Linked DNA regions of Pelodiscus sinensis. Each later gene encodes a partner of the first gene's protein in a complex. Links are inferred from orthologs where the notes say so. Each region holds a gene or a part of one and is shown in the gene's direction. Other genes may lie near its edges.

Region 1 (7,898 bases):
GGCTGCTGAAGCGCTCTGTGAGACTGGTTTGTGGCCTGTGTGGAGAGGTCACCAGTCGGGGGCTGTAAGTAGCCCCGGATTCGAGCAGTTCGCCCTGAGCGGACGCCCTCAGCTGTGCCCAGACACGGCCCGGTCCGTCACACTGGACCAAAGGAAATTTTGGTTTTTCCCTCCTTTGTTCTGGGGAGTTCCCTCCAGCTTCTGAGGGAGACAGACATGTCTCTCTCTCTCTCTCTCTCTCTCTCTAAGAAACTATTCTTCACTTTCTGTAAGTAGGATAAAGTTTAGATAAATCCATTAGGTTTTATTATTTTATGGGTTGGGTATGGGATCTGATGTTTGTGCACTTTTACACAATGTTTTGGCTTTTCTTTGTAATTAAGTTCTAGGTCAATGGAGTCTCTCCATGAAAGTATATGTTGTTACCTTTCAATCTAGTCATTATGCTTGCAACAGGAAGATTATGGTGATAATAAAAGCTTTCTCTTTTCTTTTTTATTAACCTGGTATTGGTTAATTATGTGTCCTGGTTTTTACTTTAGGGGTGAGATTTCCCAAGTGATTTCTCCCCTGATTTCTTTATTATTACTTGGGTGGTGTCTGCAAAGGATTTTATTCCCAAAAATCTAGGTTGTTAAGATTTTAGGGGGAAGTTTTATACCAAAGCCTGGTAGATAAGGTTTTGGGGTATTTTTTCTGGCCCCCACTTCTGCATTTATCGTGCCAGAGTGGGGAAGGAGCCATGACACCATTGTAGAGCAACTTGTGCTCCCCTGTACAAAAGGGATGGTGCAGCTTGTTCTTGGCAAGGAAGCAGCAAGGAAGCTGAATGATATATCTGTCTCTAATGACACAGTATTGAGACAGATAAATGAGATATCACAGAACATCAGTGAACAAGTAGTGGATGAAATGAAGTCTCCATTGTTTGCCATACAATTGGATGAATCGACCGACGTCGCATTGTGCTCTCAGCTATTGGTGTTCGTATGATACATGGTTGAGGGAGACTTCAAAGACGAGTTTCTGTAAGACTCCTGATACCACCACAAAGGCTCAGGATGTGATAGAAATTGTTAACAATTTTTTTGAAGTACATGGTCTGGATTCGGTAAATCTTGTGGGTGTCACCACTGATGGTGCACCTGCCATGCTGGGCTCAAGATCGGGCTTCCAAATGCTGGTGAACAGCACGCTCCTATGGTAACCGGAGCTCATTGTTTCATTCATAGGGAAGCTTTGGCATCAAAAAACATTGCCTGATCAACTGAACACCATTTTCAAAGGGTTGGTGAAAGTGGTGAATCGCATCAAATCATCAGTGCTGAACACCAGGCTGTTCAAAAGATTTTGCCTGGACATGGGTTCCGACTTTGATGTGTTGCTTTTCTACACTTCTCTACAGTGGTTGTCAGCAGGGAACGTACTCAACAGAGTTTTTCAGTTGAGAGAGGAGTTGGATTTATTTCTCTAGGCTCAAGGAAAACAGGAATTCCGAAATGTGCTGACACCATCAAATTTAGAACTTGTGTATCTTGTTGATATTTTTGGAATCTTGAACAAACCGAATCTTCAGCTGCAAGGGAAAGGTGCAAATCTGTTCTCTCACCAATGCATCGTCAAGGCTTTTCTTGACAAATTGGAACTCTGGATCGTAAGAGTTGAAGGCAATAATTTGATTTAATTTCCATATGTGGATGCCATGGTCGGGGAAAAGGAAGCCAGTTGGATGCAAACTCTCAATCATTTACGGAAGCTACGAGATGAATTCCAACGATACTTTTTGGAGGTGGATAGGACAAGGGATGGATTATCTTTCATCAGGAATCCATTTACAACAGATGTTAACAGTGTTTCAGAGGATCTGCAGGAGGAATTCTTGGATCTGAAAAATGATTTTGCAGCTCAAGACATGTACCAGCAGTCTACTATAGAGAAGTTTGGGGCCAGCGTGACCGGGAGTTACCCAAATCGGTCAGCACATGCAGTCAGATTTCTTTTGCCATTTGCATCAACTTATATGTGTGAGACTGGATTTTTGTGTTTGTTGCATGTTAAGTCCAAACAGAGGAATCGGCTTGCAGTGGAAAGCGATATTCATTGTGCATTATCAAGTACCACTCCAAACATTGAAAAGCTTGTCAGTGAGAAGAGAATCCAAAAATCTGTTAGTAAGAAATAAGTTTCAAACCAAAATATTTGTCTGCTCTTTTTTATCATGTCTCAAAAATGAGGTGGTCCACAAAAAATTTTTGATTGGCCTAGTGGTCCGTGGACTGAAACAACTTGAGAACCACTGTTCTAGACCATCCCTGATAGTAGGTTAGATAAATGTCTCTTAAATATTTCCACAGATGGAGATTCCACAGTCACCCTAGGCAATTTATATCAGTGTTTAACCACTCTGACAGTTAGGAACTTTTTCCTAATGTCCAACCTAAACCTCCCTTGCTGCAGTTTAAGCCCAATGCTTCTTGTTCTATCTTCAGAGGCCAAGAAGAACAAGTTTTTTCCCTCCTCCTCGTGACACCCTTTTAGATACCTGAAAACCGCTATCATGTCCCCCCTCAATCTTCTCTTTTCCAAACTAAACAAGCCCAATTCTTTCAGTCTTCTTTCATGGGTCATGTTCTCTGACCTTTAATCATTCTTGTTGCTCTTCCTATAGTTGATGAAAATTCTATTGACTATTCACTTATTTAATTAATCTAAATGTAACATTCCTATCAGTGATTTGCAATCTCAACCACTCCACTCCAAGCTGGTGGGTCCCAATAAGGGGTGAGGTGGGTGCTTGGATTGGGAGTCAATGCACCACGATGGAACCCAGGCCAGGCTCCCACACATGCCTACGTGGAGCCCGTCCACACATCAGGTGCTGCTCTGATGTCAAGTCTGTCACAGCCTGGCCACAAGGGGCCCCGCACCAAAGGCACTGCAGTCCGCATCAGGCTAAAACTTTACTTGCCTGCTGCTGGGACAAAAGACTCCAGAGAAGTTGCCGTGGGAGACAAGTCCCACGTGCAGGCAGTCCACACAACCCTGGCAGCTCCTGCCACAGTGGATACCTGATGCCAACAACTCCCCACATGGGCAGGTGCAGGGTGCCTAGCCTGCAATGCCCCCTTCCTGGAGTTGTGCATTGCCTCTCGCTGTCTGTAGCGCTGCTCACAGCCATAACTTGCCCCAGCCTCCCGTTGCCTCAGGCGCCCAACCTGGCACCAGCTTGCAAGAGCTGAAATATACAATCCCAGCCAGCGCCCCTCTAGTCACCTTTATCCCAGTGGAGGGGGGAGGGAGCTTAGCTGAGCTCCAGCTGCGGACCACTGGGCTGCACTTTGAGAACCACTGATTTAAGAAAAGCCACAGGGCTCTTAGATTTGTAAAGCAGGACAAAGCCGGCGCTCTGTGCAGAACCAGGAATCATCTGATTACCAGCTCAGCTGAAGCCAGGTTACTATGTGGTTCTGCCCTTTTAAATCTAAGACGACCCACATGGCTCTTACTAAAATTAAAGGGGAGAGCAGCAGTGGGGTCTCAGTGAAGGCAGGCTGGGAGGGAAAGTGGGGCCACTTACATGCTGCTGCTTTACCGGTGGTTCCCAACAGGACTATCTGTCTGCCAGAGAACAGAGGACCAGAAGTCAGGCACCGCCTCCTTCTGCTCATATTGGCTAGGTTCTAGAGCAGAAGGAAAAATCTTTAGGAAGGTCCCTGCATACTTGCATTCCTGCAGGAGGGAGAGGAAACAGCAGTGCGCAGCTGCTTCTAGCTGCGCTGCTGTTTCCAGCACATTTTTAGTGTTTACGTGGCCACCAGTTCAGATTTAAATGTGGGACTGTCCTGGAAAACCCAGAACATATGGTCAGCATAGCCATGGGGCGGCAGGGGGAGAGAGGAGGGAGGAGCGCTCTCTCTGCTAGTCTTTTAACTTTTGCTTTTTTTCATAATGAACAAGCTGCCAGAGCCATGCAATAGAAGGAGAGTCTGCAGTCAGTCAGACCCCAAAGTTGGTGTCTTGATCAAGTGGTTACAGACGAAACTTAAGAGAGCCACTGGTGGAACCCTAAGGGCTCACACCTCGCCAAAGCAAAGCGCCCAGCTGAGTGGCATCGCAGCCTCTGCCCCCAGTTAGGGTGCATCTACACTGCACCCACAGCGTGAAATAAGCTACACAATTTGAGCTACACAAATTGCATATCTTATTCTGAGTAAATGTTGAAATAGCTTATCTTATAACTTGGCACTGTATACGCAGCACCAAAATAACTCGCTATTCCGAAATGTCCCTTCTTCTTTGTGGAAGAAGGGTTAAAAGACGTCAGAATAGCGAGCCCCTTATATATTTCCAAATAACAGGCACGCCGTTAAGACGCAGGGCAGCTATTCTGGGATACCTCCGATGGCCCAAATTAGCTGCAAGGAGTAGACGCAGGCTTACAGACTAGCAAGGCTACAACTCCGAGACTTGTCTCACCAGAGCTGAGCAGCAGAGCCATGGAAAGAAATGTCGTAAATACCCTCAGGCATCACCTGCAATTTAGCCTCAATTCTTCCCTCCCGGGATGGGGGCTGCAGCCTGGGCCTGTCGGTCAAGCCCTTCCTCTCCCCCCGGGGGGCGCTCGCAGAGACGCGCAGGGCGCGAACCTTCTCAGACTCTCTGCGGGCTGCCAGCAGTCCCTAAGCGCGGCCCGTGGCGGAGAGCAAGTCACGGGACTACAGCTCCCAGCATGCCAGAGTAAAAAAAAAGTCCCCCCCCCATGCGATGGGCTAGGAACCACAGTCCCTGCCCGGGACCGCGGTGCATACTGGGAGATGTAGCTCACGTGGGGCTTATTCGTTTTGCCCACCGAAACGAGGCCCGCAGCCCTCCCGTTAAGCGCGGGGTCTCGGCTTAGTTCAGTTCTCCCCTACTTGACCATCCGCCCCTTGGCGGCGACGGCTTCCGCTTCCGCTGTCCAGGCGCTTCCGGTGCCGCCCTTCCGGCGTGGTGATTTCCGCTCCCACGCTGCCCCGCGCCGAATCATGGACCACAATGGTGAGGAGGGGAGAGGGAGGGAGCCGTATTTATACCCGTCCCCGCCCGGCCGGGCCTGGCCCGGACAGTGCGTGGTGTGGCCTGGGCAGTCGGACACGGGGAGGCCCCACGGGGAGCGGGCCGGAGGAGCGGCCCGATGCCTGGGGCCTAGTGCGGCCTGGACCCCAGCGCCGCCGGCCCATAGTACGGGTGGAGGGGACTCGGCCGGGCTCCGCCGTCCCTGCGCCCCCGAGCCTCCACTCTGACCGCGAGCCCCAGCCTCCGCCGGGCCCTGCCGGGGAGCGGGCACCGATCCCCACCGGCCTCGTTCGGCGCGGCCCCGAGCGGGCGGGGAAGGCCGCTGGGACTGTTGGCCCGGGGAGGCGCGGTCCCCTTCGCCGCCCGCGCAGCTATGGAGCGGGGCGGGGGTGCTGCAGCAGACCCCGGCTACACCTCCCTGCCGTAGCAATGGCTGAGGTTCCTGGGGTCGGGCTAAAGGATCAGGACGCCTTGAACGAACTCTGGTTCTCGGCGTGTAGTTAGCAGAGGCGCAAGTGGCTGCGGATGGGGAGCACCTCGCTGTATCTGCTAAGGTCTAGGAATATACCGTTTGTATAACGTGCTGCACTTTTTCTGTAGCTGGTCAGAACAGGCAGACTCCCGCTTTTGACTTCTGCTGTAAAATAGCATTGCTCTTTGAAATTGGCTGCCCACGAGTGCATATGAAAAGAAAATATTTTATTATAAAAAATGAGTAATGATTTTCCAATATGGGGAACATCTACAATTGGTAATCTTGCCTCTATGATGCACCATTTCCATTTGCCTCTCTGTCCAAACCTGATATCATAGTTAAAATATAGTTGCAGTGTGTAAACTGTTCAGCCAGTGCATCCTCCTCCCATAGAAGTAGGAACTGTTTACTGTTGTGTGCTTTTTACTTTTTGTCTCTATTGTAATAGTGACAAGGTTGAATTGGCTTTTTTTTTCAGATTGTGAATCCAAAAAGAAGGGAGTACTGTCACTTGCTATGGGTTTTGTACAGTGTCTATTACAGGGAGATCTGTTGAGGTCTTTAGGCACTACTATACTAGTATTTTTGGTGATCTCAGTAATCTTTTAATATGACTATCAGTCGTATCTGAAATTGGCCAGCAGGGGTCAATCTAGAATAGCATAGGACACGTTTCCCTAGGGCTGAACAGTTCAGCCACTGTAACTCTTCCAGCCTCTGTAGACCTGCCCAGTGATGGACCACTGTAGCTACTAACAAGGGGATTGGATTGCAAAGTCCCATTGAAAAGGCTTAGTTTTAATCTTTACCTTGTTTAGAATATTCTGAACCTCTTCCCTTAAACATTTTTACATTTCAGCTACAAGCCCTGTCCATATTTTAAACGTAAAACTAATTAAACTTTTGTTTCAAAGTGTTTCATAGCAAAACTTGTTTTTTGTGGTGATCTTTGCTGTCTAGCATGTTTATTCCTGTCCTAGCTTCAAGAGACCTGGAGTTAAAGGTTCAAGACAGGCGGGAATAATTTACAATACTGTTTTTATACGTTTCAGAGTGATAGTTGTGTTAGTCTGTAACTTAAAAAAAAACCAAGTAGTCCAGTGACATCTTAGAGACTAACAAATATATATAGTATCATGAGCATTCATGGGCAAAATCCACTTAAATGGGATCCTGCGGGTGGAGGGCCGCTCTGGCAAGGCCAGGACCTCCGCACCATGGGGAGCTGCTGCAGCCTGGCTGGAAGAAGTGGATTTTGCCTATAAAAGCTCATGATATTATATATATTTTTGTTAGTCTTTAAGGTGCCCCAGGACTACTTGTTGTTTTTATATGTCTACAAACCTGACAGGTACATTCCTTGAAAAACACAATATTTTAAATTATAATCATAGTTGATCCCTGTAAACTTCAGCAGAGCTAACTTGTTACTCTTCTTCAAAATTCTTTGCTGCAGGGCCTACAAGAAACTTCACAGTGCTTAGCATGCTAATAAGTTGAGGCCACTACCCATCATGCTATCATTATTGTCTCATTACCTCTCTGTGTTTCTCTGTTTTCTCTTGTCTTATACTTGAGTCTTAGACTGTAAATTATTTGGGACATGGACTGTCTTTTTCTGTATGTACAGCAGCTAGCATAGAAGGATTCAGATCCATCATTAGCAATTATAGGTGCTACAGTACTATAGATACATAATAAGGATGTAAAAGTGTAGTTGATTAACTGATAAGCAAAAGCTTATAGGTTAATGCTATAAACTACATGCATTTTTCCTCCTCCTCCACACACTTGCCAGTAAATTTTTTAGCAGGCTGGCCAACAGCCTGGCTTGTGACAGGTTCAGGACCTACCCCTGCTGCGGATCTGCATTTAAAGTGTATTAGGAGGCAGGCAGGTAGCCCAGCCCAGTTCCGGCTTGTGCGGGTCTGGGACCTCAGGCCATCCCCTAAACAGGGGCTGCTGCCACCTGCACTGCTGCTTTTTTTTTATCAGACGCAGCAGCACAGGGTAACAGGCAGCCAGTCCCCAAGGGAGCTGGTTTTTAAACTGGCTCCTCTCATGGACCAGCTCCCACATGAAAAGGGTCTTCGTGGGAGTGAGGTCAGAGTACATTGGCTGCTGGCCCCGCCATGAGGGACTATAGAATAGTTGACTGATAAGAATTCATGAGGTTACTTGACTATTCCATTAACTGATATTTAATATCCCTAATAGACAGGGCTCGCCGAGCGGCGGCGAGCTCTGCTCGCCAGCTGCACAGTTCTGCACTTTATGTATGCGCAGATTGTTCCGTGCCAGCTCTTCTGGGGTGCCACAGGCGAGCGAGTAGATTACACTATTTGTCGATCCCTGCTAATACATAATA
Region 2 (7,419 bases), on another chromosome or scaffold:
CCCCCAATGGCTCTGCTACCCTCTGGGGCTCCGTGCTCTCCCCTCACCCTCCTCCCCAGGCTTCATGCTCTTCCCACAGCATCTCTGCTGCCACCTGAGGGACTCCCACTGCTGCCGGGGGCTTGTACAGCTACTCCGCTGACTGCTGCTCTAGCCCTGGTGACCAGGGGCTCTGTGCTTCTCCCAGCGGGTCTCTTGGCTCCCTAGTCTGGCAGCACTCCTGGCCTCAGCTCAACAGCTTATCCCCTTGAGTATTCTCACAGGGTCACCTCTACATTGTCGGGACAGGGGTGTTGCTGGACAAGGGAAGTCGGATTATGCAGTTTCAAACTATAATAATCTATCACCATCTCTTTTGCAAAATAATCCTTAAGATTATAGTAGTAGAAGTGTAGAAGTGTGTAGAAACTGGGAAAGTCTCTTGCTTGGTTGTGTGTACAGTGTAGGCCTACACAGGAAAGATTTGAGGAGGGATGCAGTCCCTCCCCACCATACCAAAAAAAACCCAGTTTTCCGTTGGTTGACCTAATTTCTCCCTGTAACTGAAGGGCAGTGAGCTTTTTTTTATGAAATTTTAATTTTCTACAGCACCCCTTGAGCATTACGTGATGCATCTAGATTCTGTACAAACTATGTTTAAATATGTATGCTTATCAACCCTTGAACAGGGAAATGGGCAGAGGAAAGTGCTAATTGAAAGCAGTCCAGAATGGTTTCAAAATGGAATGTCCCAAGTAGAAAGGCCCACTGATCTCTGAAGAGAACTATCGCTGACTTTGTCAGGCATCCTTAGGGACATACTTAAGACAAGCTGTTCTTGAACTGAGAAAACTGCCTTCAGCTCAGTTCAGATGAAACATAACCGGGCAGGGGAGGGAGGAAATAGGACCACCATCCTCAACATAATGTGAAGTCCACTTTTCTCATAGTAGTACTGGGACTTGTGCAGAAATATTCTCTACCAACAAATGCTGCAACCTCATCTGTTCAAAATGTGCTTGAGAAAAGGCCAGATAAGCCATTTCTTCGCAGCGTGTTCTCTCTGCTCCTTATGGTGCTAAGGTGTTCCAGGCTGTAGAGTGAACATGGGGCTGCTATTCCTATTCCCTTCCCCCCCCCCCCCCTTCACTTAGCTCGCTCTAGAAATCCAAACCAAAGCAGCAGGGTTCAGAGTCTTTACCAGTAGTATTGTCTACTCCACTGGATAAGTGGCGAGGAGTCCTGTGGCACCTTATAGACAAACTGAAGTGTTGGAGCATAAGCTTTCATGGGTAAAGACCCACTTTGTCAGATGCATGTAGTGGAAATTTCCAGAGGCAGGTATAAATATGCAGGCCAGAATCAGGCTGGAGATGATACCTCCACTGGATAAAACACTCTCGGGTAGAAGCATGGCAAGACTGAGAGATTTGTAAAGCAGAAAACTCAGGGTGTTTGGGAGGGAGGGAGGAGGCAACCAAAAAAATCAGCTGAATCCTTCTGAAGCATCCTTTTCCCTCAGTATCACTAGACACCTCATTCTTTTCTTCCACTGTAGTGCTATTACCTTGGGGCCACCAGTGATGCAGCCACCAAAATGGTTAATGAGGTATCAAAACCTCTGAGTCACCACATCCCTGTGGAGAAGATCTGTGAGAAACTGAAGAAGAAAGACAGCCAGATCTGTGAGCTAAAATATGGTGAGTTTGGGCAGACATTAGCTAAGTGGTTAAATAGTTGGGCTTTTCTACAGTATGGTTCTTTGTTCTGATAAGTAACGAACTTGCACCCTGTCCCTTAATATTGCAGAGCTGAAGTGGAGGGGGGAAGGTGATGAGCAAGTAGCCAATAGTGATAGTTGACTACTTGCTTACATCCAACTCGGAGTTCTTCAACAGACATCGGTTTATCTAGGCTGCAACATTGTTTATGCCTGGGATTAGGTAAAATCCTAGACTCTCAGTGAGTCCCCTAGCTGCCTAGGTCCATCATGAAGGCACCACTGATGTTCACAAAACCACTGCTTGGCTGCTGCCTAAGTCCTAATACTGTCCCACAGCTAACAAGTTGCATGGAGCCCTGCCAGGATTTTCAAATAAGCTGGCTCCCACCTGTCTTGCCTAAAGAGCCCAATCCAGCAGGTGTGCTCAGAGCACATTTTTCATTTTGCTCTTGGCTGTCTTGGGCAGCTTCCTGGTTAGCTTGTTGGCTTCTAAGAGTCCCTTTCTTGTGTGTGTCTCTCCTCATACAATGTGTGGGGGCCATGAATGCCATTGAGCAGTGCAGCACTGCAGTAGTGAGCATAGCAAAGGCCTAAGTCCCCTTTGTGCCTTTAGCCCTTGGCCTCTAGTTGGGAGACTCTTATTTGGAGTGTAGAATAGTACATAGGAAAGATTTTTGTGGGGAACAACCCAGCCTCATTACAGATTAACTAGGCCTAAGGCTATTGGCTGCAGTTGTTAAATGCATTTATTCAGGTAACCGTGAAACCGCATACAGAGGCAGTGGGGCAGGTGGGACCATGTAACTGTGCACATTAACTGATGAGCCTCACTGGTTAACCCAGTACACATGTACATGTTCACCCTCCCTAGTGTTGACTACAAGCTTCTTGTTACCAAATCCTATCTAAAGATATTTACAAGAGACTAATTTTCATTTTTAATGGTCCCTCTTGATTCCCTAAAAGTCTGCCTTCCAGTTCTGCTCCAACAAAACTGCTCAAAATATTCTTTCCTCTTCTGCTGCTCTCACTAGGGATGTAAAATCCTGGTTAACCAGTTAAAGGTTAGGTCAACCTAACCTTTAACCGGTTTAACGACTAAACTGGAATCCGGGCTGGGGACTGCTTCAGTCCAGCTGGAGCAGCTCCTGGCCCCAGCCCCACACTGAGGCTGGGTCTGTCACCAGGTCCTAGCTTCCACCTTCTGCTAGAGCAGCCCCTTTCTGTGGGGCGCCTGGACTCCCCATAGACAGAGGGGCTACGTCTACACTGGCATAATTTTCTGGAAATGCTTTTAAGGGAAAAGTTTTCCGTTAAAAGCATTTTTGGAAAAGAGCATCCGGATTGGCAGGACGCTTTTCCGCAAAAGCACTTTTTGCGGAAAAGAGTCTGTGGCCAATCTAGATGCGCTTTTCTGCAAAAAAGCCCCGACATTTTTGCCATCGGGGCTTTTTTGTGGGAAAGAGATCTCTGCTGTCTACACTGGCCCTTTTGCGCAAAAGTCTTTTGGAAAAAGACTTTTGCCCGAATGGGAGCAGCATAGTATTTCCGCCAAAAGCACTGACAATCTTGCATGAGATCGTCAGTGCTTTTGCGGAAATTCAAGTGGCTAATGTAGACAGCTGGCAAGTTTTTCCCCAAAAGCAGATGATTTTGCAGAAAAACTTGTCAGTCTAGACACAGCCAGGCTGTTCCAGATGAGAACAGTCCCTGCCCACAGCAGGCCCCTTGTGGAACTGAGGCAGGGTCCTGCCTGCAGCAGGTGGGGCGCTGTTCCAGCACCCACCAATTCCCTGGAACTGATAAGCAACAACCCTACCTAGCTCTGACTAAAGCAGTATAACGTGCCAGCCTCTTCACTGATTCCATATGTCCTAATGTGTAAAATTGTCTTCAGTTTCGTGTCATCTTGTTGGCCTGCCTCATTGCAAAATAACACCCCTGGTATGTTTGTTTAAATCTTATTTCCCTTTTCCTCTCCCCTTCCTTTCTGTTTTTATATTCCATTCATTGTAATGTAGATTGTATCAGTGAGGCAGTGCCTTGTTTTTAATGTCCTCAAGAATAGGCCTTCTCCACTGAAGGGGACAAAACTCAAACACACTTTACTGTCCTGTCCACTTCATTAATATGTTATCTAGTTAATCTTGACCGCCTGTAATAGGCTTGTTTTTACTCATTTTGAATAACCAATGTTCCCCCCTCACTCTTCAGACAAGCAGATTGACCTGAGCACTGTGGACCTGAAGAAACTGAGAGTGAAGGAGCTGAAGAAGATCCTGGATGACTGGGGGGAAACGTGCAAGGGCTGTGCAGAGAAGTCAGACTATATTCGCAAAATCAATGAACTGATGCCTAAGTACGCTCCGAAGGCCGCCAGCTCCCGGACGGATCTCTGACCCCCCCCCCCCCCGCCCCCATTGCGCTGTTCTCGGTGGGGTCCCTCTTGCCCCTTTTTGTAAGTTATTGCAGCGGGCGGCCAGGCCGGGCGGGGTGACCGGCTCGTCTCCCCCCCCCCCCCCTTTGTATTGCGGGGCCGCCTGCGGGTGGTGCCGCCGCGGAGACTTTTGTATTAAAGTGTGAAAGGAAGCGGGTCTCTCTCTGCGCCGCGGGGGGGGGGGAGCGGCACAGGCCGCCTGGGCGCGCGCTGAGGCGGGCGGGGCGGGGCGGGGTCCGGCGTGGGAGGGGCTGGATACACGAGGCCGGTTCCACAGGGTTCGCCCCGCCCTGGGTGGGGGGCGAGGAGCGCTATGGCCGCTGCCTGGATGCGTAAGGCCCGGCCGGCCACCGCCCTTAGTTCCCCTGCGGCTCCCTCTCAGTTGGTCCCGTCCGAAGGCGAGGACGTAATGATCGCTTTCTCCATTGGTCCTTGTCTATCACGTGACTCCTCCCCCCCGCGGACGACGGAAGGGCTTCCCTTGTCACGTGATGAAGGCGCCGCGGCCCCAACTCGCCATCGCTCCTGACGCCGCCATGCAGCGGGGCGCGGGGAGATGACGTGTGGCCCGCGCGGCGCGGCGGCCGGACTCCGGAGCCGCCTTCCTTCCCTTTTGTCCAAGATGGCGGCGGCCGCCGGAGGCGCCTGCTGAGCCGCGGGCCCCGGAGCCATGAAGCGGGGCAGCGAGCGGGACCCCAGCCCGGGCGGCGCGGGGGGGGGCCGGGCCGCCGCCAAGCGGCCCCGCGAGCGCGAGCGGGAGAGCAGCAGCCGGCGCGGCCCGCACCGCAGCTCGGGCGCCTCCCGCAGCAGCCGCGACAAGCTCCCGCCCGGCGGCGCCTCCAGCTCCCGCAGCCACCGCGGGGACGAGCGGGCCGGGGGCGGCGACTCCAACCACCGCGCGGCGGGCGGCGCCTCGGCCTCCAGCGCCCGCAGCAGCCAGGCCGCGCCCCCGGCCGCCGCCTCGTCGTCGTCGCGGGCGCTGGGGGCCGCCAAGGCCAAGGCCCTGCCGGGGGCCGTGGTGGCGCCGTCGCTGCTGCTCGCCGGGCCGCCCCCGGGGGCGGCGCCCTCCTTGCTGCTGGCCCCGCTGGGGGGCTCGCCGGGGCTGGTGGTGGAGCCGCCCGGCTCCTGCGAGTACAAGACGCTGCTGGTGAGCGGCCTGAGCACCGCGCTGCCCGACCAGCTGCTGGAGGACGGGCTCTTCCGCCAGTTCCAGCGCTTCGCGAGCGGGGGCGCCGGCGACATCAGCGTCAAGCTCTCCCACACGCCCGAGCTGGGCCGCGTCGCGTACGTCAACTTCCGGCACCCGGGGGACGCCCGTGATGCCCGCAGGCACGCCCGGGCCCGGCAGCTGCTTCTCTACGACCGTCCCCTCAAAGTGGAGCCTGTGTACTTGCGTGGGGGTCGCAGGAGCCGCACACCCCCGCCTGTGCCCTCCCCAGAGCCTCTGGGCTACCTGCCACCCATCCACAGCACCTACCAGTATAAACAGAGGTCACTGTCGCCTGTTGCCAGCCCATTGCTGAGGGAGCCACGGCCCCGGCATGCTCATGCGGCCGCTGCAGCCTTCGCCTTGGAGGCTGCTGCCCTTGGGCTCTCCCGGGAGCGGGAGAGGGCACTGGATTATTACGGGTTGTATGATGAGCGTGGCCGACCCTATGGCTACCCCATAGTGGCTGAGGAAGATCTGATGCCAGAGGATGACCAGAGAGCCACTCGAAATCTGTTCATTGGGAATTTGGATCATAATGTCTCAGAGGTGGAGCTCAGACGTGCTTTTGAGAAGTACGGCATCATTGAGGAGGTGGTGATCAAGCGCCCTGCTCGAGGCCAAGGTGGGGCCTATGCATTTCTCAAGTTCCAGAACTTGGATATGGCCCACCGGGCCAAGGTCGCCATGTCTGGCCGGGTTGTTGGCAGGAACCCCATCAAAATTGGCTATGGAAAAGCCAATCCTACTACACGACTCTGGGTGGGTGGCCTTGGACCAAGCACATCCTTGGCTGCCCTTGCTAGAGAGTTTGATCGCTTTGGTAGCATCAGGACTATTGATTATGTGAAGGGGGATAGCTTTGCCTATATTCAGTACGAGAGCCTGGATGCTGCCCAGGCTGCTTGTGCGCAGATGAGGGGCTTCCCCTTGGGTGGACCGGATAGGAGACTTAGAGTGGATTTTGCCAAAGCTGAAGAGACAAGATACCCCCAGCAGTACCAGCCTGCACCACTCCCAGTGCACTACGAGCTGTTACCTGATGGATATAGCAGGCACAGAAGCCTAGAGCAAGACTTAAGGGTGAGAGATAGGACTCCTCCACATCTCCTGTACTCAGATAGAGACAGGAGCTTTGCAGAGGCAGATTGGGCTAGTCCTGCCAAAAATGCTGAGCGAAGAAATAACTTGGAGAGCTACGGCCGATCTGTGCGTAGCCGAAGCGGAGAACGTTGGGGTAGTGACAGTGACCGCAGTGTGCCCAAGCCTTGGGAAGAAAGGCGGAAACGCCGGAGTCTTTCCAGTGACCGTGGCAGGATTACTCATTCGCCTTATGAGGACAGAGGCAGGACAAAGGCCAGTGGGCCAGCTTTAGATCGCAGCCCAGACAGGGTTCGCAAAGAGAACAACACTACAGAGTCTGGAACAGAGAGGGATCAGAGTAACTCCCTTCAGAACAACCGGCACGTATCTGAGGAGAAACCACATCGTGAAACTTCTGATCTTCCTCAACCTAAAAAAAGGGACAGCGAACGCAATCATCGGACTGGTGAATCGGAATCAAAAACTCACGAGGAGCCAAAATCTGAGACCAAAAAAGTAAAGAACTTGTCAGAATATGCTCAGACACTGCAACTTGCTTGGAATGGGCTTCTTGTGCTAAAAAATAGCTGCTTCCCCACGTCTATGCACATCCTGGAGGGAGACCTAGGTGTAATCAGTGGGCTCTTAAAAGACCATTCATCTGGTGGGAAGTTAACACAGCTCAAGATTGCTCAAAGACTTCGGCTTGACCAGCCCAAGCTGGATGAAGTAACTCGCCGTATTAAACAAGGCAGTCCTAATGGTTATGCTGTGCTACTGGCTACCCAAGCCACCCAAGGAGGGGTAGGGGCTGAAGGGACCTTTCCTGTTGAGCCTGGCTTGCAGCGAAGGCTTCTCAGGAATCTGGTCTCTTACTTGAAACAGAAGCAGGCTGCTGGGGTGATCAGCCTGCCTGTGGGAGGGGCAAAGAGCAGAGACAGCACAGGCATGCTTTATGCTTTCCCTCCCTGTGAATTCTCTCAGCAGTAC
Region 3 (7,918 bases), on another chromosome or scaffold:
TACCTGTAAAAGCTTGCATAACTCTGTCATTATTCGGGACGTTAGATTCATCCCCTGGTCTGTCAATAGTTCCTTTGGTAGGCCTACCCGCGAGAATAGCCTCATTAGCTCTTCAGCTATCGCCCCCGCGGTTGCTCGTCTCAAGGGGACGGCTTCGGGGAATCGCGTGGCGTAGTCTATAATGACGAGTATGTAGATATAGCCCCTGCTGGACTTTTCTAGTGGCCCCACCAGGTCTAGTGCGATACGCTCGAAAGGCGTCCCTACGATGGGTAAAGGTATAAGAGGCGCCGGAGGCACCCTTGTAGGTGACGTCTTTTGGCACTGGGGGCATGAGGCGCAATAATTCTTTATGTCCTGATATACCCCAGGCCAATAGAACCTCTGGAGCACCCGGTGCTGTGTTTTTTCTGTTCCTAGGTGTCCAGCCCAGGTGTGATCGTGGGCAAGCTCTAGCACCCCCCCCCCGGTAGGGCTTTGGCACGAGCAACTGGTGCTTCACCTCCGTCCCCCCTTCTTGTGGAGTGACCCGGAACAAGCGATCCTGATGCACCTCGAACCGGGGACCCTGTCCCCCTCTTCCGGTGTCTCTGGCTTCTCCTACCTGAGCCCACGCGTGTTGCAAGGTCGGGTCCTCTCTCTGGAGTGCGAGGAAATCACCTTCGTCCAGGTCCAGGTGGGGCATTGGTGTCTCTGTCCCGTTCGTCCCCTCCTCTCCGGCGTCTGGGTCGTCTACTTCCTCCCCGTGAGCTGCAAACCTGGGGTTTTTGTCCCTTTCCCCCTTCTTGCTCCGTTGTTCCAACCCCCAATTACTTAGTAGGTACCCCAGTCCGGGCCAGTCCCTGCCTAGCAACGCGGGGTATGCCAGATTGGGGCTCACTGCGACTATACATGAGTCCCTTATCCTCCCATCATCAATTTCCACCCTTGTCGTCGCATAGGGGTGGATATCCCCATGTACACATTTCATGTATACTCTCGGCCCCCGGGGCACTTGGGACCCCAGGATGTTGGCTCGGATTATCGTTTGCCCGCACCCGGAGTCTAGCACCGCCTTCACCCGGCGTCCATTAACCCTTATCTCATGCAACATTTGCCTCCGCCCCTGTTCGCCCCGGGTTACCTTTCGCGTGGGGCCTTGCCCGAAGGTGCAATCCATCATGGGGCAGTCTTTCTTAAAGTGCCCCTCCTATCCGCACTGGTAGCAGGCTCCTTTGGTTCCTCCTTCGGGTTGTGGGTTCCTCTCCGTCACTCCGGTTGGCCCTCCGGCCTCTGGGGTTCGTCCCTCCGGGTGGTCCCACCGGGGCGCTAGTCCTCGTCCCATGGTTGGGCCTGCCGGTGTTCTGGGGCCGTATGTCTTTGCGCCACTTTTCGCTGGGGCAAGGCCTCCTGAATGTGGTTCTCGTGGCCCGGTGCGGGGGCGCGGTGCTACTGTTCCTTCGGCGGCAAGGAAGCGTTCCATCAAGGTGATGGCTTCCTCGAGAGTCTCTGGGAGGTGTCGTCTCACCCAACGCTGCCCCTCGGCTGGGAGGATCTTCACATACTGTTCTAAGATCACCGCCTCGGCCACTTGCGTTCCGGACTTATTTTCGGGTTCCAGCCAGCGCATCCCCGCTTCCCGTACCCTCTGAGCCACGGCCCGCGGGCGTTCGCCTGGGCCGTACCGGGCCTCGCGGAACTTTTGCCGGTGGAATTCCGGGGAGATCCCTAGTTGATCTAAGATGGCCTCCTTTACCTTATAGTAGCATAACGCGTCTCTTGCGGACATTCCTCGGTAAGCCAGTTGGGCCGCCCCTGACAAGTAGGGAGCTAGGAGCGTTGCCCATTGGTCCTGTGGCCATTTCGCCGCCAACGCCACCCGTTCGAAGGTTACCAGGAAGGCCTCTGGGTCGTCTTCAGGGCCCAACTTCGTCAGCCTGATGGGGAGTTGGCGGCCCACTACGTCTTCGTCGTTTCCCGCCGGTGTCGCGCCCCCACCGGCCATGCTAGTTGCAGCTTGATGCTCCTGGAGCTTATCCAGGACCTGTTGCAGCGCCTGCGACTGCTGCTGCTGCCACTGCTTCTGGTTATCTATTAGCCAGTCCACTACTTTGTTCAGCTCCATTATCCCTGGGGAAATTAGCTTGTTATAACCAGAGGAAGGACCCTACCCCCGGGAGGACCGACCTGTTTCGCTCCCTTACCTCTAGGCCCCCCCCCCCCTCTCTTCTTCTCTTTTTTTTTTTTTTTTTTTTTCCGAGTGAGTATATATGTGCCCCCTTAACCGGGGCTCAGGTCATGCCCACATTCTCCACCACCTGTAACCCTGTGCCCTGGTGGTCACCCCGAGTTCGGGTGACCCTCGTCCTTCCTAGCTGATCGGACTCTTGGCCCTCTGACCGATCGTAGCTCCCGGCCGACCGTGCGGGATGCCGGAGCCCGCACTGGCTCGCAGACGCCGGGAAGGGGGCTCGGGCCCTCCCTCACTCCGAGCCCCGACCCAGGGCCCTAAGACGGGGACGCTAGTCCCTAGTCAGTGGAGGGGGTTACGTTCCCCCCAAACCCTCCACTCGCGGGGACCACGGCCCCGCCCTGGGTCACTTCTTCCCGGCCGGTTGTTCGGCGCGTTCCCCCCAGCAAGGGGATAGACTCACCCGGAGTCCCTGTCGCGGGTGAGGCTTCAGCCGCCGCGAGTACCGTGTCTCCTCCCCAGGGTCTCCCAACAGACCCGGTTCCTCTGTCCTGCCTCCAGCACTCCTCTCCCCCGGTCCATGGTCCGGTGCCCTTTGAATGGCCCGCTCCCCTGCGGGCGCCGGGGCCGGCGTGGTCCCGTGACTCCAGGCCCCGCCCCTCCCCGCACTCTCCCCGTCGCCTCCGGTGACGTCATCGCCCGGCGCCGGGGAACGCGGCGGGCCGACGGTCGTCTCGGCCGGGACTCCTGTTCCCGGACTCCCCTTCTCAGTGCGGGGCGGCGCGGACCCTGTGCCTGCCCCGTCACAGCACTTTAAGGATCCTTTGAGCCTTTAATACACTCCAAGTGTCATAATTACTAAAATCACTGCATTTTGATGAGAATTTATGAAATGATTTAACAAAGTTTCATTATTGCTACTTGATAAAACTTTAAATACTTCATGTTAAAATCTTAGGTTTAATGTCAACTGTCATAACCATCTTGCTTTAACTTACTTTCTGTAACTTCTATTAATGTAATTTACTTAAAGTTGATCAATTCCGGATTAGTCTCAACTCATTCTGTCTCTGGATTCCAATAAAGTTTCTAATATTTTCTTTAATTTAATTGTGGCTTTTAGTTCTTATTTTATGGTGTTTGGAATTAGCTGACTTGTAATGGTGCATACCTTTCATTTTTCACTTGGTCTTTGTAATCACCCATTTTTTGGCAGTGAGACTTTCAAAAGAGGTTGAAGCACTTACCACCATATTGATATATGCAGTTTTTCTTGAGTGTGTGAGATGCTCACAAACTGTGCTTTGATTCCTGCATGTCACTCTATTTACTATCCACAGGATCTGGTCAGCTGTAGATTTTCCACTTTTGTGGATCTCCTGAATTCTATAGGAGCAGAGACCCATTCCTGCATATATAATATGTAAGGCCTCTGTTTTACATGGTAAGAGTGACATAAAACAGGTGAGCCCCCCTCCCTTCAATTTTCTGCACATTATACCACAAGAAGATTTAGAAGTAGTCAAATTAAATATGGGTGATGACCAGAAATTAATTTATTTTATGGTATTACTTACATTGTCAGTACACTAGGTGTTTGTACATGAAACTGGATTTGGGTGAGAGAGATGGAGAAAAAATGTTAAGTATCATACCCTGTTCTAATTCTGTGATCAAAATCTTAATTCATTGTTCACCAAGAATGTTGAGTTTTTTCTTTGGTTGTTCAATAATACTTTGATATTGCACCAGATGCTTTTATTTTATTAAAATATACGGGTAGTGCTAGGGGGTCACTACCATTTTACTACTCTACCCATATGATTTAATATTAAAAAATAAGCAATTTGCAAAGCACAATTTAATATGAAAGATCATCGATCTGCTATATGAAAGGCACAAAGAGAGAGAGAGAGAGAGGTGGGATTAAAAAGAAAATAATATCCAAAACAACTTGCTAGAGAACATAGATTAGAATATTGATAAACACAGTGACTGATTTGTATGGAGGGAAAATCAGATCTGCCCTCTAGGGACAAATATATTTGTGCATGCTTTTTAGTCCTTGCATTATAATTTGCCGTGCTCAAACTCAAACTCTACTTTAAGTCCAGCATTAAGCAATGTTTTCCAGTTTTTAAAATCAGCAAAAAAATGTTTATTCTTTTGAGCACTAATGGGATCTAAACATTTCCTTGCAGTTTACTGCCTGAAGCCTGCAACCTTGTACTGGACCACTGAAACTAACCAATATATTAAACTGACTAGGCAACAGGTAGTAAACCATGCAACATACATGGTGAAAAATCACGTTTTAAAGAATCCTTTTTGTTTAGTACGCTGGTTAGTAGCAGTAAGTAACTTTGCTTCTGAGCATATTTTATTTTTTCGGTGACCCTTTAAAGGCAACACCAAGGCTGGCTCCAAAAGACGATGGGGGGCAGGGGGAAGGGCTCCAAAATGCGCGAGAACACAAAGGGCAAGGTCATGCCTTTTACTGGCCCCCCTGCTGGTGCATGTTCTGGACCTGCCGGGCAGTGGAAAGTCTCTGCTCTGCCCAGGGGGAGGGTGGAGATAAGCAGGGCTTCCCCGCGGGGGGGGGAGGGGGAAGCGTGCTGGGCTCGCGGCCAATAGCGCTACGCCTTCCTGCATCCTGGACGGCGGTCTCCTTCCGCCCGAACCCTCACTTCAGCAGGTAGTTTACGTGGGAGGCTGTATCCCTCCGCGTCCCCTTCGTCCCCCTCGCGCGCCGCAGATACGCTCCCGGCCCGTGCGATGTCGGTTCAACTGCCAGGCTAAGCGCCGCACCAGAGCGAGACGCCGGGGGCTCCAGGCCGGGCTGCGGCACGAAGGAGGAGGAGCGCTCAGGAAGTAGCCCAGGCCTGGGGGAAAGAGGCTGCCGGATGAGCGAGGGCGGCGCGGGACAGGAGAGCTCGCGGGTGGGTCCTGCTGCCGCTGCCCTTCCTCCCGGCGTTCCCTGCGCGCGCGGCGGGCTCGGGCAGCCTCTGCTGGAGCAACGGCTCCTCCCGGGGGCGGGGCGGCCGCGCTCGCGTTTCCTCCTCCGGCGCCATTTTGTAGCGCAGAGAAGCTGCAAATAAAGAGCGAGCGGCGGCGCGGGCTAGGGGAGGCGGCGACCGCAGGGCCCCGTTTCTGGGCGCTGAAGGTGTTGCCCTCGATGCGACGGGCCGGGCTTTGGTAGTCAGTGCGCGGGGAGAGCGAGGCCTCCGCGCCGCGAGCAGGAGGTGAGTCACCGAGCGGCCTCCCCCTCGCAGGCCGCCGCCGCCGTTTTCTCCTCGCGGGACGTGGCTGCTGGAGCGCACCGAGCACCAGGGTGTTCCCGCCCCGCTGCTCTGGGGGCTCGGGGTGCTGAGCCTGGGGGCCCGGCCGCTACTTACGGCGGGAGGGGATTAGGGGGGAGGGCAGCGCAGCAGCACCTAGAGCCATTTTGTGAGAGACGCAGGCGAGAGCGGGGCTCGGTGCGTGAGGCCCGACCCCGGGGGCGCCCATTGTCCCCACCCCGCGTCTGGGCTGGCTCCGCTCAGGCTGTGGCGAAAGCGGCTAGGAAGGGCCGAGCGCAGCGTAGGCGGGATTTGGAGCCGTTCGGGGGCTCTACTCCCTCCCCCCCAATGCTCCTCGGCCCCGCCGCAGGGAGCGGCCTGTGCGCCCCGCTGTCAAATGGCCTTTCTTGCTGCCGGAGCGTCCGCTGCGCCCTGGCTGCGCGCGTCCCCAGAGGGCCGTGGGGGAGCCGCGCGGTTTCCGTGGCGGAAGGGCGCAATGGCCGAGTGTGGAGGTTCCTGTCTCGCGGAGGCTGATGCACACGCTTAGCTTTACGCTCCGTGCGTGGTTCCGGCAGGGCGGGGGGACTCTACCCACCGAGCCTAAAGTTGAGGCGGCGCCGATATTTCTGCTAATCCGTGGCCTCACTTTGTAGTTTGCTTCAGAGGCTTCGTACCTGTAATGGTGGCTTCTACGCAAAGTATCAAGAGCCTTTAGCATCGTATCAAAATTACCTGCTAAGTATTAAAAAAATTCCTGACGGCTCCAGGCTGTTCCTCCTACAAGGAGGAGGGGCTCCTGGTTTTAACTAAAACAATTGCTATTAACTGTCATTTAACTTGTTTTAATATTGCATATTCCTTAAAATACTACAGAAATTATGACCGTGTTGTAAAGTAGCATATCAGATAAAACTGAACATTGTGATGTTTAAGCTTGAGCTTTTTAGTTCATGTGTCCACATCTATGGTCAAGTAACATCTGCTCCAATCAGCTTATAATTATAAAAAAAATTACATAGTCAATAAACTTATTGCATGTTCCAGTTGGCAGTCTTAATGCATACATTTGTATTTTGCTTATTTGTATTTTGATATTTCTGAGAGCAAAAGTAGAAGACTAGAAACTTGACAAGGTACCATTTGTCACCAGAATTAATCTTTGAATGAAGAGGTGTTGTTCTTCAGCATGGCAGTAAATAAAATTATTCAAAATATCAACATAAATTCAGTGTTTATTTTAGTAGGCTATATTAAAGATTAGTTTTGAAAATAACTTTCATTGTTCTTGTAGAAAATGGCATTGTTGTGCTCTTTCAGAAAATTACAAACTTTTTAGTAAACATTCTGTGTACTGTGGTTAGTGTTTTGGGGATGATGGTGAGCTTACAAACAAGTCTGGAGTAACTGTACACTGAGTTAGATACCTCATGCTGAAATGGTTATATGATTGTTGCTTTGCTCTTCTTTAATTTGCTTTTTTCTGTATCCAAGTACATATGGCAATGAAACAGTAAGCAATTTAAAACAACCAGTTGGTATTCCAGCACAAAACAAATTTAGGGTGACTTCTGAGGCTATGTCCAGGGAATGCATCTGCTCTTCTGCTTTTTTTTTTTTTTTTTTTTGCGGAAGAGCAGATGCGCTCTTTCAGATGCCGAAGAAGAGCTCTTCCAAAAGACAGTTTTTCCCGAAATTGGGCCAAATTTCAGAAAAGCCTCTTCTAACAAAACTATTGGAAAAAAGTACACAAATTGCGAAGTGCAATTAGTGTACGTTTTTCTGGTAAAACATTGTAGTCTAGACGATAGCCTGATTCTCCTTCATGCTGCTATAGATATCACATTAGTTTTGAGGAAGTTAGTTATTGCTTCTCAAAATGTTGACTACAGGAGTGCTATCAGTCAGCTCTGTAAACCTCTCAGATTGTAAATGCTAACACTTGTGATGTATTTCTGATATAGAAAGTCTGACATGGTTCAGCAATAGGCGGAGGTGTATACATAATATCGCATACAAAAAACTATTGAGAGAGTTTTCAGCTTGGACCGTCAACCCCAAAGTTAAGAAATGCCAGACTTAAATTTACTCATGCAACATGAATTCTGTCCCTTGTGCATCTGTCCTGTGCATTGATAACATTAACCCAATTGGTGAGGGGGAATACACAGTCATATTAAGGGTAATATCTAGGGCAGAGGCTGGCAACCTTTTCAAACCAAAGAGCCAAACTGCATCAAAATTCAGAACAGGAGGTCAACAAAGAGCATTCGTATAAGAATGCCCCTTTGCATGACTAAAAATATATAACTTAATATTATTATTTGACATAACGATTAATAATAGCACCAATGAAACATGATACTCACAGACTTATTTAATGGGACTTCTGCTGCTGCATCTTCACATTTCTTGGAAGTTTCCATCACAACTGGTCAAATCCAGCTTAATGTACGGATGCAGGCTGTCTTGT
Region 4 (6,945 bases), on another chromosome or scaffold:
CCTAGCACGGTCACACACCAGGCAGGGAGCAGGAGAGACACACACATATACACGCCCCTAGCACGGTCACACACCGGGCAGGGGGCAGGAGAGACACACACATATACACGCCCCTAGCACGGTCACACACCGGGCAGTGGGCAGGAGAGACACACACATATACACGCCCCTAGCACGGTCACACACCGGGCAGGGGGCAGGAGAGACACACACATATACACGCCCCTAGCACGGTCACACACCAGGCAGGGGGCAGGAGAGACACACACATATACACGCCCCTAGCACGGTCACACACCAGGCAGGGGGCAGGAGAGACACACACATATACACGCCCCTAGCACGGTCACACACCGGGCAGTGGGCAGGAGAGACACACACATATACACGCCCCTAGCACGGTCACACACCGGGCAGGGGGCAGGAGAGACACACACATATACACGCCCCTAGCACGGTCACACACCGGGCAGGGAGCAGGAGAGACACACATATACACGCCCCTAGCACGGTCACACACCGGGCAGGGGGCAGGAGAGACACACACATATACACGCCCCTAGCACGGTCACACACCGGCAGGGGGCAGGAGAGACACACACATATACACGCCCCTAGCACGGTCACACACCGGGCAGGGAGCAGGAGAGACACACACATATACACGCCCCTAGCACGGTCACACACCGGGCAGGGAGCAGGAGAGACACACACATATATACGCCCCTAGCACGGTCACACACCGGGCAGGGAGCAGGAGAGACACACACATATACACGCCCCTAGCACGGTCACACACCGGGCAGGGGGCAGGAGAGACACACACATATACACGCCCCTAGCACGGTCACACACCGGGCAGGGGGCAGGAGAGACACACACATATACACGCCCCTAGCACGGTCACACACCGGGCAGTGGGCAGGAGAGACACACACATATACACGCCCCTAGCACGGTCACACACCGGGCAGGGGGCAGGAGAGACACACACATATACACGCCCCTAGCACGGTCACACACCAGGCAGGGGGCAGGAGAGACACACACATATACACGCCCCTAGCACGGTCACACACCGGGCAGTGGGCAGGAGAGACACACACATATACACGCCCCTAGCACGGTCACACACCGGGCAGGGAGCAGGAGAGACACACACATATACACGCCCCTAGCACGGTCACACACCAGGCAGGGAGCAGGAGAGACACCCATATACACGCCCCTAGCACGGTCACACACCGGGCAGGGAGCAGGAGAGACACACATATACACGCCCCTAGCACGGTCACACACCGGGCAGGGGGCAGGAGAGACACACACATATACACGCCCCTAGCACGGTCACACACCGGCAGGGAGCAGGAGAGACACACACATATACACGCCCCTAGCACGGTCACACACCGGGCAGGGAGCAGGAGAGACACACACATATACAGGCCCCAGCACGGTCACACACCGGGCAGTGGGCAGGAGAGACACACACATATACACGCCCCTAGCACGGTCACACACCGGGCAGGGAGCAGGAGAGACACACACATATACACGCCCCTAGCACGGTCACACACCGGGCAGGGAGCAGGAGAGACACACACATATACACGCCCCTAGCACGGTCACACACCGGGCAGTGGGCAGGAGAGACACACACATATACACGCCCCTAGCACGGTCACACACCGGGCAGGGAGCAGGAGAGACACACACATATACACGCCCCTAGCACGGTCACACACCAGGCAGGGAACAGGAGAGACACCCATATACACGCCCCTAGCACGGTCACACACCAGGCAGGGAGCAGGAGAGACACACATATACACGCCCCTAGCACGGTCACACACCGGGCAGGGGGCAGGAGAGACACACACATATACACGCCCCTAGCACGGTCACACACCGGCAGGGAGCAGGAGAGACACACACATATACACGCCCCTAGCACGGTCACACACCGGGCAGGGAGCAGGAGAGACACACACATATACAGGCCCCAGCACGGTCACACACCGGGCAGTGGGCAGGAGAGACACACACATATACACGCCCCTAGCACGGTCACACACCGGGCAGGGAGCAGGAGAGACACACACATATACACGCCCCTAGCACGGTCACACACCAGGCAGGGAGCAGGAGAGACACCCATATACACGCCCCTAGCATGGTCACACACCGGGCAGGGAGCAGGAGAGACATACATATACACGCCCCTAGCACGGTCACACACCGGGCAGGGGGCAGGAGAGACACACACATATACACGCCCCTAGCACGGTCACACACCGGCAGGGAGCAGGAGAGACACACACATATACACGCCCCTAGCACGGTCACACACCGGGCAGGGAGCAGGAGAGACACACACATATACACGCCCCTAGCACGGTCACACACCGGGCAGGGGGCAGGAGAGACACACACATATACACGCCCCTAGCACGGTCACACACCGGGCAGGGAGCAGGAGAGACACACACATATACACGCCCCTAGCACGGTCACACACCGGGCAGGGGGCAGGAGAGAGACACACATATACATGCCCCTAGCACGGTCACACACCGGGCAGGGAGCAGGAGAGACACACACATATACACGCCCCTAGCACGGTCACACACCGGGCAGGGGGCAGGAGAGACACACACATATACACGCCCCTAGCACGGTCACACACCGGGCAGGGAGCAGGAGAGACACACACATATACACGCCCCTAGCACGGTCACACACCGGGCAGGGGGCAGGAGAGAGACACACACACATTCACATGCAGCAAGGGGTACATGTTTCCTGGGGGCGAGGATGCTGCACAGGCTCCCCAGCAAATTACAGATACCCCCTCTCCTGGCTTGGGTCTTTGCCCCTCCCTTGCCAGCTTCCCATAATGCTCCCCAGCTGCCTCTGGTGCAGGGCCCCTCCAGCCTTCCCTCTCCGTCCAACCCTGCTGCCCTTCTTGTGATTTGCCTCTCTTCCCCCCGACTAGACCCCCACATGCATCTGCCCTGTGGCCAGGGAGAGTGGCCCCCTGCCAGCCCCAGGCTAAAGTCAGGGCTGCTGGGGAGTTCTTTGCAGCTAGGGGAGGATTCGAGGCCAGCAGGTCTGGCAGAGTTGGGATGGGAAGCCGGCAATGCAGCGCTTCCCCGTTTCCCATTGGCAGCAGTGGCCCGCAGCGGGGGAAGTCGGGACCCCTGTGAGGGGGTGAACTGCAGAGGGGCAGGGGGGATGAGTGTGCTGTCACCCAGCCCTCTCCAGCTGCCCCCACAGGTGGCTGCATGTGGGGGAGGGGGCACTGTTTGGGGGCGCACAGCGCTGGAGGAAGAGCACATGGTGTCTATCAGCCCCCAGGATCGGGACCAGGCTGCTTCGTGCCAGGATGGGCCTGGCTTCACACCCTCTTGCCAGTGACCAAGATGGCCGCCTTCATGCGCCTGCAGGGATGGCAGTCAGGACCGTGCCAGGAACCAACATGGCCACCATGGCTTCGCAGTAGGGCGGTGGCAACACCCTCTGTTCCCTGCCTTCATGTGAGACACCACTGACGGGCTGCAGCCCCGGCGCCTAACCCCCAGCATGGCTGGCCGGAGTCCACCTACAGGGGACGCCTATGACGAGCCAGTGCCAGGAACAAAGATGGCTGCCAAGACGGCGCCTTTCGTCCCTAGCCACGGTGCCGGCCGCACTTTGCCAGAGCCAGACATGGCCGCCGTGGGAGGGCTTTAAAAGCAAGATGGCCGTCGTTTGCCAGTAAATGAAATGGCCGCCTTATTTAAAAAAAAAAAAAAAAGATAACCAAGATGGTGGCTTAAGATACCCTTAACCAAGATGGCTGCCTTGCGCACAACACCCGAAACCAAGATGGCGCCCGCTTGCCAACAGACGTTATGGCGGCGGCGCCTTCGCGGTGCGGGCAGAAACCGGAAGTGCGCACGTCTTATCCCCGTCCCCCCGGAGGCACTTCCGGCGGCTCGGGTTCGCGGCCCGGCGGCGCAGCATCGGGCAGGGCGGCGGGGCCGCACCATGTCGGACACGTGGAGCTCGATCCAGGCCCACAAGAAGCAGCTGGACTCGCTGCGGGAGCGGCTCCAGCGGCGGCGGAAGCAGGATCCGCTGGGTGGGTTGCGGGGGGTCAAAGGGCAGGGAGGGGTCGCGGGGTCAGAGGGCGCGAGTGATGCAGTGAGGTCAGGGGGCAGGAGCAGGGTCAAAGGGCGCGAAGGCAAGTGGGGTCAGTGGAGTTCAAAGGGCACACGGGGTGGGGGTCAAAGGGCACAAGGCCATTAGGAACCCGTAAGGGTTCAGAGGTCAAAGGGCACCGTGCAGTGGGGGGTGGGGTGTCTTTGAGGAGTTGGGGTCAAAGGGCACGGGGGCAGTGGGGACACAGGGTCAAAGGGCAAGCGGTGTGAGTGGGGGCCAGGGGCAGGACGCGGGGGAGGGGCAAAGGGCACCAGGTGGCGCGGGGGGTGGGAGCAGCGGCCCAGCAGGCTGCCTGGCGGGGGGGGGGGGTGGGAGCAGCGGCCCAGCAGGCTGCCTGGCGGGGGGGGGGGTGGGAGCAGCGGCCCAGCAGGCTGCCTGGCGGGGGGGGGGTGGGAGCAGCGGCCCAGCAGGCTGCCTGGTGCGGGGGGGGTGGGAGCAGCGGCCCAGCAGGCTGCCTGGTGCGGGGGGTGGGAGCAGCGGCCCAGCAGGCTGCCTGGTGGGGTGGGAGCAGCGGCCCAGCAGGCTGCCTGGTGGGGGGGGGGGGTGGGAGCAGCGGCCCAGCAGGCTGCCTGGCGGGGGGGGGTGGGAGCAGCGGCCCAGCAGGCTGCCTGGTGCGGGGGGTGGGAGCAGCGGCCCAGCAGGCTGCCTGGCGGGGGGGGGTGGGAGCAGCGGCCCAGCAGGCTGCCTGGTGCGGGGGGTGGGAGCAGCGGCCCAGCAGGCTGCCTGGTGGGGGGGGGGGGGGTGGGAGCAGCGGCCCAGCAGGCTGCCTGGTGCGGGGGGTGGGAGCAGCGGCCCAGCAGGCTGCCTGGTGGGGGGGGGGGGGGGGGTGGGAGCAGCGGCCCAGCAGGCTGCCTGGGGGGGGGGGTGGGAGCAGCGGCCCAGCAGGCTGCCTGGCGGGGGGGGGGGTGGGAGCAGCGGCCCAGCAGGCTGCCTGGTGCGGGGGGTGGGAGCAGCGGCCCAGCAGGCTGCCTGGTGGGGGGGGGGGTGGGAGCAGCGGCCCAGCAGGCTGCCTGGCGGGGGGGGGGGGGGGTGGGAGCAACGGCCCAGCAGGCTGCCTGGCCTCATCCTGTTTCTCTCCTCAGATCTCAGGAACCCAGAGCTGGTGTCACCCTTCCGCAGCGACAGTCCGGTGCCCGCAGCCCCCACGCCCAGCAATGCCGCCAGGGAGCTGGCCACGGACCCCGAGCTGGAGAAGAAGCTGCTGCAGCACCTCTCCGACCTGGGACTGGCTCTGCCCACTGATGCCCTCTCCATCTGCCTGGCCATCTCTACGGTGAGAGCCCAGCCCCATTCCCCTGCACCCCCACTGATGCTGCAGAGCCCTCTTCCCCATCTCCTGGGCTGTTCCCTCCTTCCCCAGCTCAGGAGATCCACTGACGTGCTAACCCCTCTCTCCCTCTCTGGGGGTAACTTGGGGGGTGACTCCACACTTGCCCTGCCCCACCACCCTGTGTGTCCTGCAGCCAGAGGCGCCCGTCACCCAGCGCAGCGTGGAGGGCCTTCTACAGAAGTTTGCGGCGCAGGAGTTGATCGAGGTGCGCCGGGGGCTGTTGCAGGACGATGAGGAGCAGCCCACGCTGGTCACTTACGCTGACCACTCCAAGCTCTCAGCCATGATGGGCGCCGTGGCAGAGCGCAAGGGCCCTGCAGAGCAGGGCAGCACTGGGGGCCAGAAGCGATGGGCAGAGCAGGAGACTGGGGGTGCTGTTTCTTCCCCCGCCGGCACTGCTCCCTCTGCCTCAGCCGCCTTGGAGCCGGCCAAGGAGCCGGCCAAGAAGTCTCGGAAGCAGGCATCCGACCTGGACCTGGAGATTGAGAGCCTGTTGAGCCAACAGTCCACCAAGGAGCAGCAGAGTAAGAAGGTACCAGCCGGACACCTGGGTCCCACCCTGGCCATTGGATGGGGATCCAATGCTGGGTCCTCTCCCTGCTCAGGTGGGAGGGCAGGGGGCACAGAGCCAGGGGACTTTCTTGCTCTGGCTCTACAGTGAGTGGGATCTAGAGCTGGGAGCCCAGTCTCCTGGGTTCTCTCCCAACACCTGGGAGCAGAGTGGGATGGGGGGGAAGGGAACCCCAGACTCCTGGGTTCTTCTCCTTGCTCTCCCACCCCCCAGGTGAGCCAGGAGATCCTGGAGCTGCTGAACACCACAACGGCCAAGGAGCAGTCGATCGTGGAGAAGTTCCGGTCGCGTGGCCGCGCCCAGGTGCAGGAGTTCTGTGACTATGGCACCAAGGAGGAGTGCGTGAAAGCCACGGACGCCGAGCGGCCCTGCCGCAAGCTGCACTTCAGGTTGGAGCCCAGAACACCTGGGTTCTCTGCAGCTCTGGGAAGGGGGGGGGGGGGCGTTGGTGGGTTAGAGCCGGAGCGCCCGGGTTCTCTGCAGCTCTGGGAAGGGGAGGGGGGGGGGCGTTGGTGGGTTAGAGCCGGAGCGCCTGGATTCTCTGCAGCTCTGGGAAGGGGGGGTTGGTGGGTTAGAGCCGGGGCGCCTGGATTCTCTGCAGCTCTGGGAAGGGGGGGGTTGGTGGGTTAGAGCCGGGGCGCCTGGATTCTCTGCAGCTCTGGGAAGGGGGGGGTTGGTGGGTTAGAGCCGGTTCTCTCCCATCTCTAGGAGGGAGTGGGGCTGGTGGGCTTGGGCCCTGGGCTCTGGGAGGGGAGAGGTCCAGCTGGGCGAAGGGCAGGGTCGATAACCCGGACACCTGGGTTCCACGTCCGTGTATCTTTCCCTTCCCCGCGTCTGCCCA

Evidence for each region.
Region 2: CBLL1 (region 1) and RBM15B share a complex: the UniProt entries of both Homo sapiens proteins name them as parts of the WMM complex. The link is inferred for Pelodiscus sinensis from reciprocal best matches to the Homo sapiens genes CBLL1 and RBM15B.
Region 3: CBLL1 (region 1) and WTAP share a complex: the UniProt entries of both Homo sapiens proteins name them as parts of the WMM complex. The link is inferred for Pelodiscus sinensis from reciprocal best matches to the Homo sapiens genes CBLL1 and WTAP.
Region 4: CBLL1 (region 1) and METTL3 share a complex: the UniProt entries of both Homo sapiens proteins name them as parts of the WMM complex. The link is inferred for Pelodiscus sinensis from reciprocal best matches to the Homo sapiens genes CBLL1 and METTL3.

Annotation. Positions count from the first base shown.
Region 1 is NC_134711.1:27,032,976-27,040,873, forward strand, and holds the start of CBLL1 (E3 ubiquitin-protein ligase Hakai), read left to right. Parts: upstream 1-4,898; 5' UTR 4,899-5,024; coding exon of another isoform or gene 5,025-5,037; intron 5,038-7,898. UniProt on the Homo sapiens protein: E3 ubiquitin-protein ligase that mediates ubiquitination of several tyrosine-phosphorylated Src substrates, including CDH1, CTTN and DOK1. Targets CDH1 for endocytosis and degradation.
Region 2 is NC_134721.1:43,355,579-43,362,997, forward strand, and holds the start of RBM15B (putative RNA-binding protein 15B), read left to right. Parts: upstream 1-4,412; 5' UTR 4,413-4,809; coding exon 4,810-7,419. Other genes in the region: MANF (mesencephalic astrocyte-derived neurotrophic factor), read left to right, coding at 1,538-1,679, 3,917-4,101. UniProt on the Homo sapiens protein: RNA-binding protein that acts as a key regulator of N6-methyladenosine (m6A) methylation of RNAs, thereby regulating different processes, such as alternative splicing of mRNAs and X chromosome inactivation mediated by Xist RNA.
Region 3 is NC_134713.1:113,548,687-113,556,604, reverse strand, and holds the start of WTAP (pre-mRNA-splicing regulator WTAP), read left to right. Parts: upstream 1-4,907; 5' UTR 4,908-5,073; coding exon 5,074-5,109; intron 5,110-5,237; exon of another isoform or gene 5,238-5,412; intron 5,413-7,918. UniProt on the Homo sapiens protein: Associated component of the WMM complex, a complex that mediates N6-methyladenosine (m6A) methylation of RNAs, a modification that plays a role in the efficiency of mRNA splicing and RNA processing.
Region 4 is NC_134740.1:757,266-764,210, forward strand, and holds the start of METTL3 (N(6)-adenosine-methyltransferase catalytic subunit METTL3), read left to right. Parts: upstream 1-3,943; 5' UTR 3,944-4,029; coding exon 4,030-4,123; intron 4,124-5,285; coding exon 5,286-5,476; intron 5,477-5,666; coding exon 5,667-6,065; intron 6,066-6,317; coding exon 6,318-6,493; intron 6,494-6,945. UniProt on the Homo sapiens protein: The METTL3-METTL14 heterodimer forms a N6-methyltransferase complex that methylates adenosine residues at the N(6) position of some RNAs and regulates various processes such as the circadian clock, differentiation of embryonic and hematopoietic stem cells, cortical neurogenesis, response to DNA damage, differentiation of T-cells and primary miRNA processing.